Linked DNA regions of Arabidopsis thaliana. The protein of the gene in region 3 purifies or fractionates together with the protein of the main gene of each other region. This does not show direct contact. Each region holds a gene or a part of one and is shown on either strand. Other genes may lie near its edges. The genes, in order: ndhK, CRR41, CRR6 and ndhJ.

Region 1 (3,039 bases), on a different chromosome or scaffold from region 3:
CAAACTAATTGATTGATCTTATTAAGAAATCGATGTCTTACTCCATGACTTTTTTTTAGGAAAAAAGAGGAGAACAACAGCCTGACATTAGGTCCTATTAAAGTACCCCGTTAGGTAGGGAATGAATAGAACCCATCATTGATTTGAGATATTGATAGGGTGAATACCCAGTCTACTCAATGCTAGGTAGAATGAGTATAAGGAACTCAAAAATGATCTTTTCGTCCTATGAACCTTAAGGTGTATCAAGTTTCATGTTTGATTTTTTAATCAGGATGTTAGAGACTATATTTAACTTAAGTTGATCTAGACCAAAAGCAAACCTACGTCAAGAGAACCCTTCTTTGAAACACTTTGGTAGTTCTTCTGTATTGTATTAGAATTCAAAAATAATCAATCAGAGTACTTGGAACCATTTCTTATCTTTTTTTTAAGAAAAAATATGGTAGACTAACTGATCTTTCGATCAGTTAATGAAAGAGCCCAATGCAAAAAAAAATGCATGTTGGGTCTTTGAAAGAGTTCGAATCATTTTGATAATAATAAGTTCGAACTCTTTTACCGAGCAGGTCTACGGTTCGAGTCCGTATAGCCCTAACTAAGAAATTTATTCTAAAAAATCACATTAAAATCAAAATAATTGGATAAATTTTTTTACTTTTTTTTGTATTCTTTATTTCTAACAGGTTACTTTTAATTGCTCGGTTCATAAAAAAAATTTCCATATCATAAACCATAAGTCCTGGGGATCGTTCAGAATAAAACGGAAAATTTCATTTTATTTCAATGGAGCCAATCACTATCTATCGATATATCGAGATAGATACTTAATTTATAATTTAGAATAAACCTTTTTCTTCATTAATTTTCATAGTTGTAATTTTTTTATATGAATTTTCCTCGTTCACTAGCTACAATCAAAAAGTTCATAATACTTTCTTTTTTTTTTTGTATCCCCACTCAATCTTGGTTACTTTTTTTATCACACGGCCTTGTTTAAAAATAAAAAAAGAAATCTAATTAAATTCAACCAAAATTCAATCTATCTAATACTAAGTAAGATGAGTATGGTAAAGTCTTACTGGATTTTTTGATACGTCATCATTTAAAAAACGAAGAGATTTTTCGAAAAATTTTTTTAAACATAAACAGAAATAAAAAAAATTACTAGTTATTAATCAGATTAATATTATATTATTATATTAGAAACTATTAGTAATAGAAACATGGAACTATTAAGTAATAAGTGTACTGAAAATAAGAAATCAATAAATCTTAAAACGAGACGTCTACCACAACAACCAAACGAAAAAAAATGATTCGATTAACCTGAATTTTTGTTTTGACTCAAGAGTTCTATATCCCTTGCCCAATCCACTCCGATTGGAATTGACTAAGCGGGTATTTTTTCCACATTCATAGGAGTTCGTCTATGTTTCTGCTTTACGAATATGATATTTTCTGGGCATTTTTACTAATATCAAGTGCTATTCCTGTTTTGGCATTTCTAATTTCCGGAGTTTTATCTCCAATTAGGAAGGGGCCGGAGAAACTTTCTAGTTATGAATCAGGTATAGAACCGATCGGGGATGCTTGGTTACAATTTAGAATCCGTTATTATATGTTTGCTCTAGTTTTTGTTGTTTTTGATGTTGAAACTGTTTTTCTGTATCCGTGGGCAATGAGTTTCGATGTACTGGGGGTATCTGCTTTTATAGAAGCTTTCATTTTCGTGCTTATCCTAATTCTTGGTTTAGTTTATGCATGGCGAAAAGGAGCATTGGAATGGTCTTAGTTCGTTTACCGAATACTTGATACAATAATAAAAAAAAAAAAAGTAAAAAAAACCATTGAAACAATTATGAATTCCATTAAGTTTCCCATACTTGATCGAACAACAAAAAATTCCGTTATTTCAACTACGTTAAATGATCTTTCAAATTGGTCAAGACTTTCCAGCCTATGGCCGCTTCTTTATGGTACCAGTTGTTGTTTCATTGAATTTGCCTCATTAATAGGCTCCCGATTTGACTTTGATCGTTATGGGTTAGTACCAAGATCGAGTCCTAGACAGGCGGACCTTATTTTAACAGCAGGTACAGTAACAATGAAAATGGCTCCTTCTTTAGTGCGATTATATGAACAAATGCCTGAACCGAAGTATGTTATTGCTATGGGAGCCTGTACAATTACAGGGGGGATGTTCAGTACCGATTCTTATAGTACTGTTCGAGGAGTTGATAAGCTAATTCCTGTAGATGTCTATTTGCCGGGTTGTCCACCTAAACCAGAGGCTGTTATAGACGCTATAACAAAGCTTCGTAAGAAAATAGCTAGAGAAATCTATAAGGATCGAATTAGACCTCAACAGGGTAATCGGTGTTTTACTACCAATCACAAGTTTTTTGTTGTACGCAGTCCGCATATTGGAAATTATGATCAAGAACTACTCTATCCACCATCATCTACTTCAGAGATCTCTACTGAAACATTTTTTAAATACAAAAGTCCAGTATCGTCCCACGAATTAGTGAATTAGGGAGGCTTTTAGAGAATCAGAAAAAAATCTTCATAAATTAGAATTAACGGTAAATGTGAAATACTTAATTTTATATAAAAAAGGTGTGGGGGAAATAAAAAAGATGCAGGGCACTTTGTCCGTTTGGCTAGCCAAACGCGGGCTGGTTCATAGATCGTTGGGCTTCGATTATCAAGGAATAGAGACTTTACAAATAAAGCCCGAAGATTGGCATTCTATTGCTGTAATTTTATATGTATATGGTTACAATTATTTACGTTCGCAATGTGCCTATGATGTGGCACCAGGTGGCCTCTTAGCCAGCGTGTATCATCTTACGAGAATAGAATATGGTGTTAATCAAGCGGAAGAAGTCTGCATAAAAGTATTTACTCACAGGAGTAATCCTAGAATTCCATCCGTTTTCTGGGTTTGGAAAAGTACGGATTTTCAAGAACGGGAATCTTATGATATGTTAGGAATCACTTATGATAGCCATCCACGACTGAAACGGATCCTAA
Region 2 (3,221 bases), on a different chromosome or scaffold from region 3:
AAACATAACAGAATTTGGTAATTTGAAGATAAAAGGATTCACAAGAAAACATTTCATACAGGATTTTGAATGCCTTCTAAACCTTCAAGAACTTTCACAGCAGATTCAACATCCTACAACAGAGAATCTCTCAAATCATAAACACGACGGAAAATTAAAGAAAGTTTAAAGTTTTTACACACATTGAGCTGTTTAGGAGAAGCAGATTTGCCACGGCCTTGAATTCCGATCAAAGCGTCAATGAGTTTCAACTCAGCATCATTAAAAGACGATTGTTGAGTTTGGTCAGTGACAGTAGATGAAGATGAACAACTGATTCGCAGAGTTCTACAGTTTCTAGACAAACCTAGTCTCCTGCTTGTTGTGTTAAGAAGATTGAATCTCGGAGAACACAATGAAAGAGAAATCGGCGATGATGGGCATGGACATAAACATGGTAGCGACATCTCTACAGCGTAGAATCTGACTGCCACCATTGTTGCTGTCTACTGCTGCTTGTGAAGCTTTTGTTAAAATGATTAAACTTTGCATTTTTAATGTGTGGTGTACAATAAAGCTTGAGTCTTGGTGAAATATCTTGAAATATGAAACTAGTGGAAGTAAAATTTTCTCAACTAATTAAGTTTTTTCCTCCCAAAAACCCTTAAGCTTCCTCACAAATTGCAAAACCAAAAGCATGAATCTTTGTTTTGATTCTTCACATGAGACTCTCATCTTCAATCCTTCTTCTACCATTAAAGTAACAGATGAATGATCCAGAGATGATTACAGAACCAAAAAAATAAGATCTTTTACAGATGAAGAAGCTCTGTTTTGTGTAAAACTATAAACAAAATTCATAGACTTTTGACTCAATTTGCAAGTAGAAGAAGAAGGAATTAGAAAGAATTAGCAACAAGAATAGCTTGTCGACACCGAGCTCTAGCTTGTTCAATCCTCTGACTCAAAGTTTCATCTTTAACAGAAGCTTTAACCATAGCTAAATCCATCTCCATCAATTTCAAAACCCTAAAAAGCTCTGTAACCATTCTCTCTTCAACTTTACCTTCATCTCTCAAAACCTCAGCTTCTTCTCTAGCTCTCTCTGCAACAATCTCACCAGCTTTAGCTAAAAGCTCCTTTGATCCAAACTCTCTCGCCATTAAAGCTTCGAACTTTTCTAAGAAATCCATTATTACATAACCTTTAGGTTTCTCCAAGTTTATCTCTTTTGTTCTTTTCCAACCGATTTCGAAGTTTGGTGGCTCTGGTTTCTCGATTCCTCTTTGTGTTCTGTCTCGTATGATCTCTGATCTTCTTCGTTTCTCTATTGGGAATTTCTCTGCGCTTGTTGTGTTGATTGATTCAGGTGCTGGTGTGAGATTGATGAATTGATCCTTTGACTCTGGATTCGACGAACATTTTGTTGAGAACTTTGTTGTTCGACGAACGAAGCTATTGGTTCTTATTGGGACTGCGATGTGAAGATTCTTAGAGGAGAGAGATGGAAGAAGAAGTGTGGAAGTGGAAGCCATTGATTTAAAAAGCTTAGAGGAAGAGTGTTAAAGAGGGTTTTGAGAATTGGAGAAAGATAAGGCCTTCTCTGGAGTTACAGTACACTATAGCGTCGTTTAAGTGTTTCAGACAAGAACGTCACGTCGTTTTTAGTTTCCGTTTAAACGGTGTCGTGTGGAGGTGTAAGCACCACGGCTGCTCTTTTCACAGTAGAAAGAAACAGTGTCATCTGTGGATAAGTAAACTGTAAAAACATAATAGTTGAGTATTCATCGACTCATGTCACTCATTGGAGAGGCCGGTCTCAGAGTTTTTAGTTTCCATTCTTTCGTGCTAATATACTTTTATTTTCTAACAGAAACTATATTTTTATGCGAAAAATCTTACTATTTGTATTTTACTACCAAGAAAAGAAGAGCAAATAAAAGTTGTATTAGAACCAAAACGTGATATACACAAGAAACAAAACCCTGTAGTGTTTACATACATAAACGAGGACTCGAAATAGAAATACTGGTAAGACGAAGACAATTAAAAATAACTTCGTGTAGTTATTTATTTGCTGGTATATACTATAGTCTATATATGAGTAGGAGGAGACTTGGTTCAGTGTTTCACATGATGGAGCATCCTTGAGAGTTCATATCTTCGTGGCAACATTGTCGTCCACCTCCCCAGCTCTCGTAAACGGGCCTTCCATAACATTGGTACTGTTGGGCCTCGTAATACGGCCCACAATGATACGGCTGCCACATCGGCATCGGTTGAGGAGCGGAAGACGAAACAAGAACAGGAACCGGAGCCGGCCGAACAAGAGCTGGGGCTTGGGCTTGGGCTGGGGCTGGGGCTGGGGCAGTAGGCTTCTGAGGTGGTTGAGGCTGGGGTTGAGGCGGTTTGGGTGGCTCAAGGATCACGATGGACTTGATAGAACCGTCTCCTTTGTAGCAAAGTTTGTTCATTAGCCTCTCAGGATCGTAACAAACTACTTTGATGATGATCGTGTTGGACTTCTCATCAAACAATTCGTCTGTTATTTCTATTTTTTTTTGCAAAACAACACATACCACAAAATCGTATCCATTTATCAAGATTCAGAATCTTCTCAACCCGCAATAATTCAAATGAACAAAGAAACTCAAATTAAAGAAAGAAACTCACGAGGGAATTTGCGGATAGCTTTCTTGACCTTTTTGTAGCATTTGGAACAGTTTAGATCCACTTTCAATTTCATCATCACTACCTGTTTGTGCATATCATATAATTTCATGATCATTATTACCTTAATTAGTAACTCTATTAGAGGGTAATTATGGATATGATCAATAAAAGAGAAGTAATATGAAAATTCAGATCTTGGTAAAGTACCTTCTCCGCCATAGCTTGGGAGTCTTGCTTGAGTCACCAAACAAGTACAAGAACACAAGTATTTTATGTGTATTCCTTGCATGATTCAATATATATAGAAAGTGATATAAAGAGAGACTTAAAATGAGAACAAGAAAGAAAAAGTTTATTATTTCTTTCGGTTTTATCAAATGAAAATATCTAATTTTGTATCTAAAATGACGTGTATGAATTTATGAAACACGGTGTATCACACATAATTTCGAAGTTTCTGAAGGTGACGCCGACATCAATTACGCACACAGCTGAGAATTACCAAAACGGGCTCACATTAGTCAGTGCACGACCACAGTTCAAGTGCTTATAGTGGTCCAAGTTTTCTA
Region 3 (3,438 bases):
TTCGGAACGAACGAGATCTCAACGAACTAAAACACAAGCTCCTCCAAATTATTAAAAAAAAAAAACACGCTTCTTATTACATTCAGATCAAGAGTACTAACCCAATAGGTACAAGATCCGATTATAGATAGAGATCCGGATACAGAGAATAAATACCTAAGAAATCCCAAGCGAAATTAAAAAGGCCGCATCGATTCACAAGTTATACGAGCTTCACATCAATAAGAATCCAGGTGGAGCTTGGGAACAGTACCCAGGTCCCAGATTGGGGCATCGAAATCGACAACCAACACTCGAAAGCGAATGCCTTTTACAACCCACAGAAGAAGAAGCGGTCAGAGGAAATAGATTTTAGGGTTTGACGGGGGAGTGAATATGTATGTCTGTCTCTGTGTTATCCAATCGCTTCCTTCCTTGTCTCATTTTTAATTGTTGTCAGTCAGTCATTTTATTATTTTATCATTATTTTCTTCAAACTAAATTTGGTAACAAAGTTTTACATTTCATTCTAATTGACCGTATTCTTACCGATTTATCTTCTGCCTTTTTAATTAAGGGATATATATAAAGAAAGCTTTTCAATTATAGAAATAAATTAAGCTGCCACATGATAACGAAATTAAAGTGTGCTTTCTATGTATTTCTCTTTCTCGTTGTTATCTTTTGTTTTGGTAATGTTTCTAGAAATGTTGGAACTTCACCGAAATAAACATGGTAACTGACTAGATTCTAAAAAATCTTGTTCAAAATTCATCATATAAAATAGACATCTGAAGATAAGAAGACTTACAAATAGAATACTTTGGTTTAATGGAAACTTTCTTTCCGTTTTTCCTCTTTTTACGCAATTGTATTTGACAAAACAAAACTAAGCAGAGTAAGCTTTTTGTTGCCGTGATCACAGCACTTTCGCCGCTTTAATGGGCCAAAAGGTGTTTTAACGTTTTACTTTATATAATTAAGATGAAATCTTCCTTCTTTGGATATAAATAATGATTTGGACAACTACTGATTTGGTCAAAACGTAAACAAAAACAAACAAACAAAGGAAAACGTCAAAAAAAAAAAAAGGTGTTATGAGTTATAAAAAATAACATTATTGGGCCGTAAGAATCCTTTTTTTCGTCTATATGGGCCGAATTGAAGTCTAAATGGGTCTCGATCTTAACTATGCCTACACAGCATAAAGAAGTTAATCACTACAACAAAATCATCATTTGGCCTTATAATAGATATTCATTCTCAGGCACTCTAAGACACTGTGAAGTGGATCTTTTGACGCTTATGTTCATCTTACTAGATTGCATAGGTGAGCTTTTTCTCTCAAATCATATTATCTTTGCCACTGCTATGGTAGAGACCTTGGGGACTTATCTTTGCCAAGGAATGTTCCATTGCATAGCTATTTAAACTTTAAAGTGAGCAGAATTCTCAGTCTTTGAGCTACTTACTTACAAAGCCTCTATTGTGCAACTCCTTTGACCCGGTACGACCTTGGAAGACAAAGAAGGCCTCACTGCTTGCAAGGGGCAATGGCGAAGAAGAAGATCAGAGACGGTCAAGCTTGCAGATGCTCCTGAAACACCTCACCAACAGTGAAGGAGATTCGACAATGCCTACATCTACATGAGACCGAGGAGGCTGACTTGAGTTGAAAACATTCCACATTAAAGAAGAGAGCTCTTCATTTTTCTGAACGATTGAAGAAATGCATTCTGCTTAACATTTGAAACCTTTACGACAGACAGCAAAATATATGTATTTGTGCGGTGAAGGAAAAAAGGATAAAATGGAAAGAAATGAAGAAAAGGCCAAAAGAAGAGGATAAAAAGAAGACTAAGACACAAAGAGAGATAGCGTCTGTGAATGGCAACAAAGGCAGTTCTTCTCCCGTGGCTTATCCCATCGCCGAGACACGTATCGCTGTTCCCAGTGGTTCAATTGCCGGCGTTGGAGACCGCCGGGTGGTGTGTAAGAAAGAGGAGGGCAGAAGACGTAGCAGTCTCCGTCGCCTTCAATCCTTCTGGCAATTTCGACATCTCTGCCTTCGAGAATGACCAAGGTTCGTACTTGCTCAATTGATTCAGAATGATAAATAAAAAAAGGCTGCTACTAATTAATTATGTGAAAGGCGTAGCAGATTCAGATAAAGTGGAACCTCCGATGCCTCCAACGACCGGCCGGTACGAAGTAGTGATCGACAACGACTCAATTGGGCGGCTTGACCTATCCCCGTTTCAGAGAGCCATCGGCATAACCTCGCCTGATGATTTTGGTGTAGCTGAACCAAAACGGTATTTGGATCGAACCATCGGATTCACCATCAATTACAAGAGAGAAGACCCCGGGGATCCGCGGGAGCTGTCAGAGTACCCGGACGTAAGACTATGGTTCGTGAGGCTCGACGCGATGTACCCTTGGCTGCCTCTGCTGCTGGACTGGCGAGCTGGAGAACTTGCTCGATACGCAGCCATGTTAGTGCCGCACCAGATGAGCTTGAGAATGGGTGTCGTTTTCAATCCGGAGGCGTTGGAGCTTTTCGTAATGAACAAAGTGTTTGTGGTTTATCCGTGGCTGAAACGGCACGGCGTCCCAAAGCCCAGGTTGAAGACGAGCGACATGGCCAGGATGCTCGGATTCGGTATCGGCGATGAGCTCTTCGACTTGATCGATCACAATGAATGAAAAACGATGTGTTCTATCTTCAAATTACATACGTGGGCCTAATTGTGGGCTTACAATGAAAAAGGCCTGGGGATGGTAATTAAGAGGATTTTTTTGGGTATTTGATACACACGTGGCGAATATTCATTGGATAAGTTGTATTAATAGCCGTAAAATCTGGGAAAATAAATTCAAAATCTCGAATATCTGAAGAGAAGAGAGAGCCCATTCAAAATTTGAAAAACAAATCAACAATTGGTTTATTCGTATCTTTCTCATTTCTCTCTAGTCTATATCGCTCTCAGAATACAATTGGAAAAAAGAACAAGGTATTTAGGAATCTCTCATTCTTGAGTAGCTAAGCATTGAGGTCTCCTTTGCGTTTATAGATTATTTTTTTTGGTTGAAATTGTTTGGTTCTGTTGGGATATGTTGTTGTGTTAGGGAAGAGAACACAAAAAGAAATGGTTAGAGAAGAGGAGAAATCGAGATGGTGGTGGTTCGAGAGCCACAAGAGCTCCAAACATTCTCAATGGCTTCAATCAACACTCGCTGGTTGGTTCTTTTTCTCACTCAGTTCTTCTCTATGTTTTGTGGTTTTTGCCAACTTTTTGGTGTGAAACGTTTGTGGTGCAGAGATTGATGCAAAGACAAAGGCAATGTTGAAGTTGTTAGACGGAAACGCAGACTCTTTCGCTCAGCGTGCTGAGACTTACTACAAGAAACGTCCTGAGCTTATCAGCTTTGTCGAAGACTTTTATCGAGCTCACCGTT
Region 4 (2,920 bases), on a different chromosome or scaffold from region 3:
CATTTTATTTCAATGGAGCCAATCACTATCTATCGATATATCGAGATAGATACTTAATTTATAATTTAGAATAAACCTTTTTCTTCATTAATTTTCATAGTTGTAATTTTTTTATATGAATTTTCCTCGTTCACTAGCTACAATCAAAAAGTTCATAATACTTTCTTTTTTTTTTTGTATCCCCACTCAATCTTGGTTACTTTTTTTATCACACGGCCTTGTTTAAAAATAAAAAAAGAAATCTAATTAAATTCAACCAAAATTCAATCTATCTAATACTAAGTAAGATGAGTATGGTAAAGTCTTACTGGATTTTTTGATACGTCATCATTTAAAAAACGAAGAGATTTTTCGAAAAATTTTTTTAAACATAAACAGAAATAAAAAAAATTACTAGTTATTAATCAGATTAATATTATATTATTATATTAGAAACTATTAGTAATAGAAACATGGAACTATTAAGTAATAAGTGTACTGAAAATAAGAAATCAATAAATCTTAAAACGAGACGTCTACCACAACAACCAAACGAAAAAAAATGATTCGATTAACCTGAATTTTTGTTTTGACTCAAGAGTTCTATATCCCTTGCCCAATCCACTCCGATTGGAATTGACTAAGCGGGTATTTTTTCCACATTCATAGGAGTTCGTCTATGTTTCTGCTTTACGAATATGATATTTTCTGGGCATTTTTACTAATATCAAGTGCTATTCCTGTTTTGGCATTTCTAATTTCCGGAGTTTTATCTCCAATTAGGAAGGGGCCGGAGAAACTTTCTAGTTATGAATCAGGTATAGAACCGATCGGGGATGCTTGGTTACAATTTAGAATCCGTTATTATATGTTTGCTCTAGTTTTTGTTGTTTTTGATGTTGAAACTGTTTTTCTGTATCCGTGGGCAATGAGTTTCGATGTACTGGGGGTATCTGCTTTTATAGAAGCTTTCATTTTCGTGCTTATCCTAATTCTTGGTTTAGTTTATGCATGGCGAAAAGGAGCATTGGAATGGTCTTAGTTCGTTTACCGAATACTTGATACAATAATAAAAAAAAAAAAAGTAAAAAAAACCATTGAAACAATTATGAATTCCATTAAGTTTCCCATACTTGATCGAACAACAAAAAATTCCGTTATTTCAACTACGTTAAATGATCTTTCAAATTGGTCAAGACTTTCCAGCCTATGGCCGCTTCTTTATGGTACCAGTTGTTGTTTCATTGAATTTGCCTCATTAATAGGCTCCCGATTTGACTTTGATCGTTATGGGTTAGTACCAAGATCGAGTCCTAGACAGGCGGACCTTATTTTAACAGCAGGTACAGTAACAATGAAAATGGCTCCTTCTTTAGTGCGATTATATGAACAAATGCCTGAACCGAAGTATGTTATTGCTATGGGAGCCTGTACAATTACAGGGGGGATGTTCAGTACCGATTCTTATAGTACTGTTCGAGGAGTTGATAAGCTAATTCCTGTAGATGTCTATTTGCCGGGTTGTCCACCTAAACCAGAGGCTGTTATAGACGCTATAACAAAGCTTCGTAAGAAAATAGCTAGAGAAATCTATAAGGATCGAATTAGACCTCAACAGGGTAATCGGTGTTTTACTACCAATCACAAGTTTTTTGTTGTACGCAGTCCGCATATTGGAAATTATGATCAAGAACTACTCTATCCACCATCATCTACTTCAGAGATCTCTACTGAAACATTTTTTAAATACAAAAGTCCAGTATCGTCCCACGAATTAGTGAATTAGGGAGGCTTTTAGAGAATCAGAAAAAAATCTTCATAAATTAGAATTAACGGTAAATGTGAAATACTTAATTTTATATAAAAAAGGTGTGGGGGAAATAAAAAAGATGCAGGGCACTTTGTCCGTTTGGCTAGCCAAACGCGGGCTGGTTCATAGATCGTTGGGCTTCGATTATCAAGGAATAGAGACTTTACAAATAAAGCCCGAAGATTGGCATTCTATTGCTGTAATTTTATATGTATATGGTTACAATTATTTACGTTCGCAATGTGCCTATGATGTGGCACCAGGTGGCCTCTTAGCCAGCGTGTATCATCTTACGAGAATAGAATATGGTGTTAATCAAGCGGAAGAAGTCTGCATAAAAGTATTTACTCACAGGAGTAATCCTAGAATTCCATCCGTTTTCTGGGTTTGGAAAAGTACGGATTTTCAAGAACGGGAATCTTATGATATGTTAGGAATCACTTATGATAGCCATCCACGACTGAAACGGATCCTAATGCCCGAGAGTTGGATAGGGTGGCCTTTACGTAAGGATTATATTGCCCCCAATTTTTATGAAATACAAGATGCTTATTGAATGATAAAAAATGAGCCAATAGGATGAACTAAAAAAAAAGAGTTCTGCATTATGAACTTTGTATCGCGCACATAACTTAGTCAACTTTAGTCACATAACTGGGAATGAATAAATAAGATCGGAAAGCAATAAATGAAGGGGGGGATACAATTCTATTTCTATTGTATCTAATGAACCTTGGGGTATTTTTGCCCTTCAACTATAGTATACTATACATATAGACCTTTTTTTACTTGTTTGATTCAACGGAACTCATTTAACCTTTCCTTTCGGATATGTATTATGTATCAAGTATTATACATTCTTTTTGAACGGCTGGATTCACAACATGAACAAAAAAAAGAGAGGGGATAAAGCATAATTGCACTTTTTTTACTAAAGATACGTTTAATTTGAAGAATAAAAACTTATCAAAATTAATAAATCCTCTGCCAAGAACCAGATTTGAACTGGTGACACGAGGATTTTCAGTCCTCTGCTCTACCAACTGAGCTATCCCGGCGAAGGATCATCCTCGTTTTACGAATGGTGGCACAACGATTTCAAGTCCCCCGGAAAAAAGCTATGTCCACCAT

The links.
Region 1: the proteins of CRR6 (region 3) and ndhK purify together in Arabidopsis thaliana (affinity purification with mass spectrometry, with the first as the bait; one study listed by BioGRID). This does not show direct contact.
Region 2: the proteins of CRR6 (region 3) and CRR41 purify together in Arabidopsis thaliana (affinity purification with mass spectrometry; one study listed by BioGRID). This does not show direct contact.
Region 4: the proteins of CRR6 (region 3) and ndhJ purify together in Arabidopsis thaliana (affinity purification with mass spectrometry, with the first as the bait; one study listed by BioGRID). This does not show direct contact.

What each region holds. Positions count from the first base shown.
Region 1 is NC_000932.1:48,757-51,795, reverse strand, and holds ndhK (NADH dehydrogenase subunit K), read left to right. Parts: upstream 1-1,861; coding exon 1,862-2,539; downstream 2,540-3,039. Other genes in the region: ndhC (NADH dehydrogenase subunit 3), read left to right, coding at 1,433-1,795; ndhJ (NADH dehydrogenase subunit J), read left to right, coding at 2,643-3,039. UniProt on the Arabidopsis thaliana protein: NDH shuttles electrons from NAD(P)H:plastoquinone, via FMN and iron-sulfur (Fe-S) centers, to quinones in the photosynthetic chain and possibly in a chloroplast respiratory chain.
Region 2 is NC_003070.9:18,932,635-18,935,855, reverse strand, and holds CRR41 (potassium/sodium hyperpolarization-activated cyclic nucleotide-gated channel protein), read right to left. Parts: upstream 1,558-3,221; 5' UTR 1,515-1,557; coding exon 879-1,514; 3' UTR 557-878; downstream 1-556. Other genes in the region: AT1G51110 (Plastid-lipid associated protein PAP / fibrillin family protein), read right to left, coding at 60-113, 183-476; AT1G51090 (Heavy metal transport/detoxification superfamily protein), read right to left, coding at 2,109-2,530, 2,653-2,734, 2,860-2,871. UniProt on the Arabidopsis thaliana protein: Required for both formation and activity of the chloroplast NAD(P)H dehydrogenase (NDH) complex of the photosynthetic electron transport chain.
Region 3 is NC_003071.7:19,612,875-19,616,312, forward strand, and holds CRR6 (chlororespiratory reduction 6), read left to right. Parts: upstream 1-1,782; 5' UTR 1,783-1,866; coding exon 1,867-2,062; exon of another isoform or gene 2,063-2,088; coding exon of another isoform or gene 2,089-2,140; coding exon 2,141-2,685; 3' UTR 2,686-2,895; downstream 2,896-3,438. Other genes in the region: NET3C (Kinase interacting (KIP1-like) family protein), read left to right, coding at 3,129-3,219, 3,301-3,438. UniProt on the Arabidopsis thaliana protein: Required for both formation and activity of the chloroplast NAD(P)H dehydrogenase (NDH) complex of the photosynthetic electron transport chain. May function in assembly or stabilization of the NDH complex.
Region 4 is NC_000932.1:48,102-51,021, reverse strand, and holds ndhJ (NADH dehydrogenase subunit J), read left to right. Parts: upstream 1-1,868; coding exon 1,869-2,345; downstream 2,346-2,920. Other genes in the region: ndhC (NADH dehydrogenase subunit 3), read left to right, coding at 659-1,021; ndhK (NADH dehydrogenase subunit K), read left to right, coding at 1,088-1,765. UniProt on the Arabidopsis thaliana protein: NDH shuttles electrons from NAD(P)H:plastoquinone, via FMN and iron-sulfur (Fe-S) centers, to quinones in the photosynthetic chain and possibly in a chloroplast respiratory chain.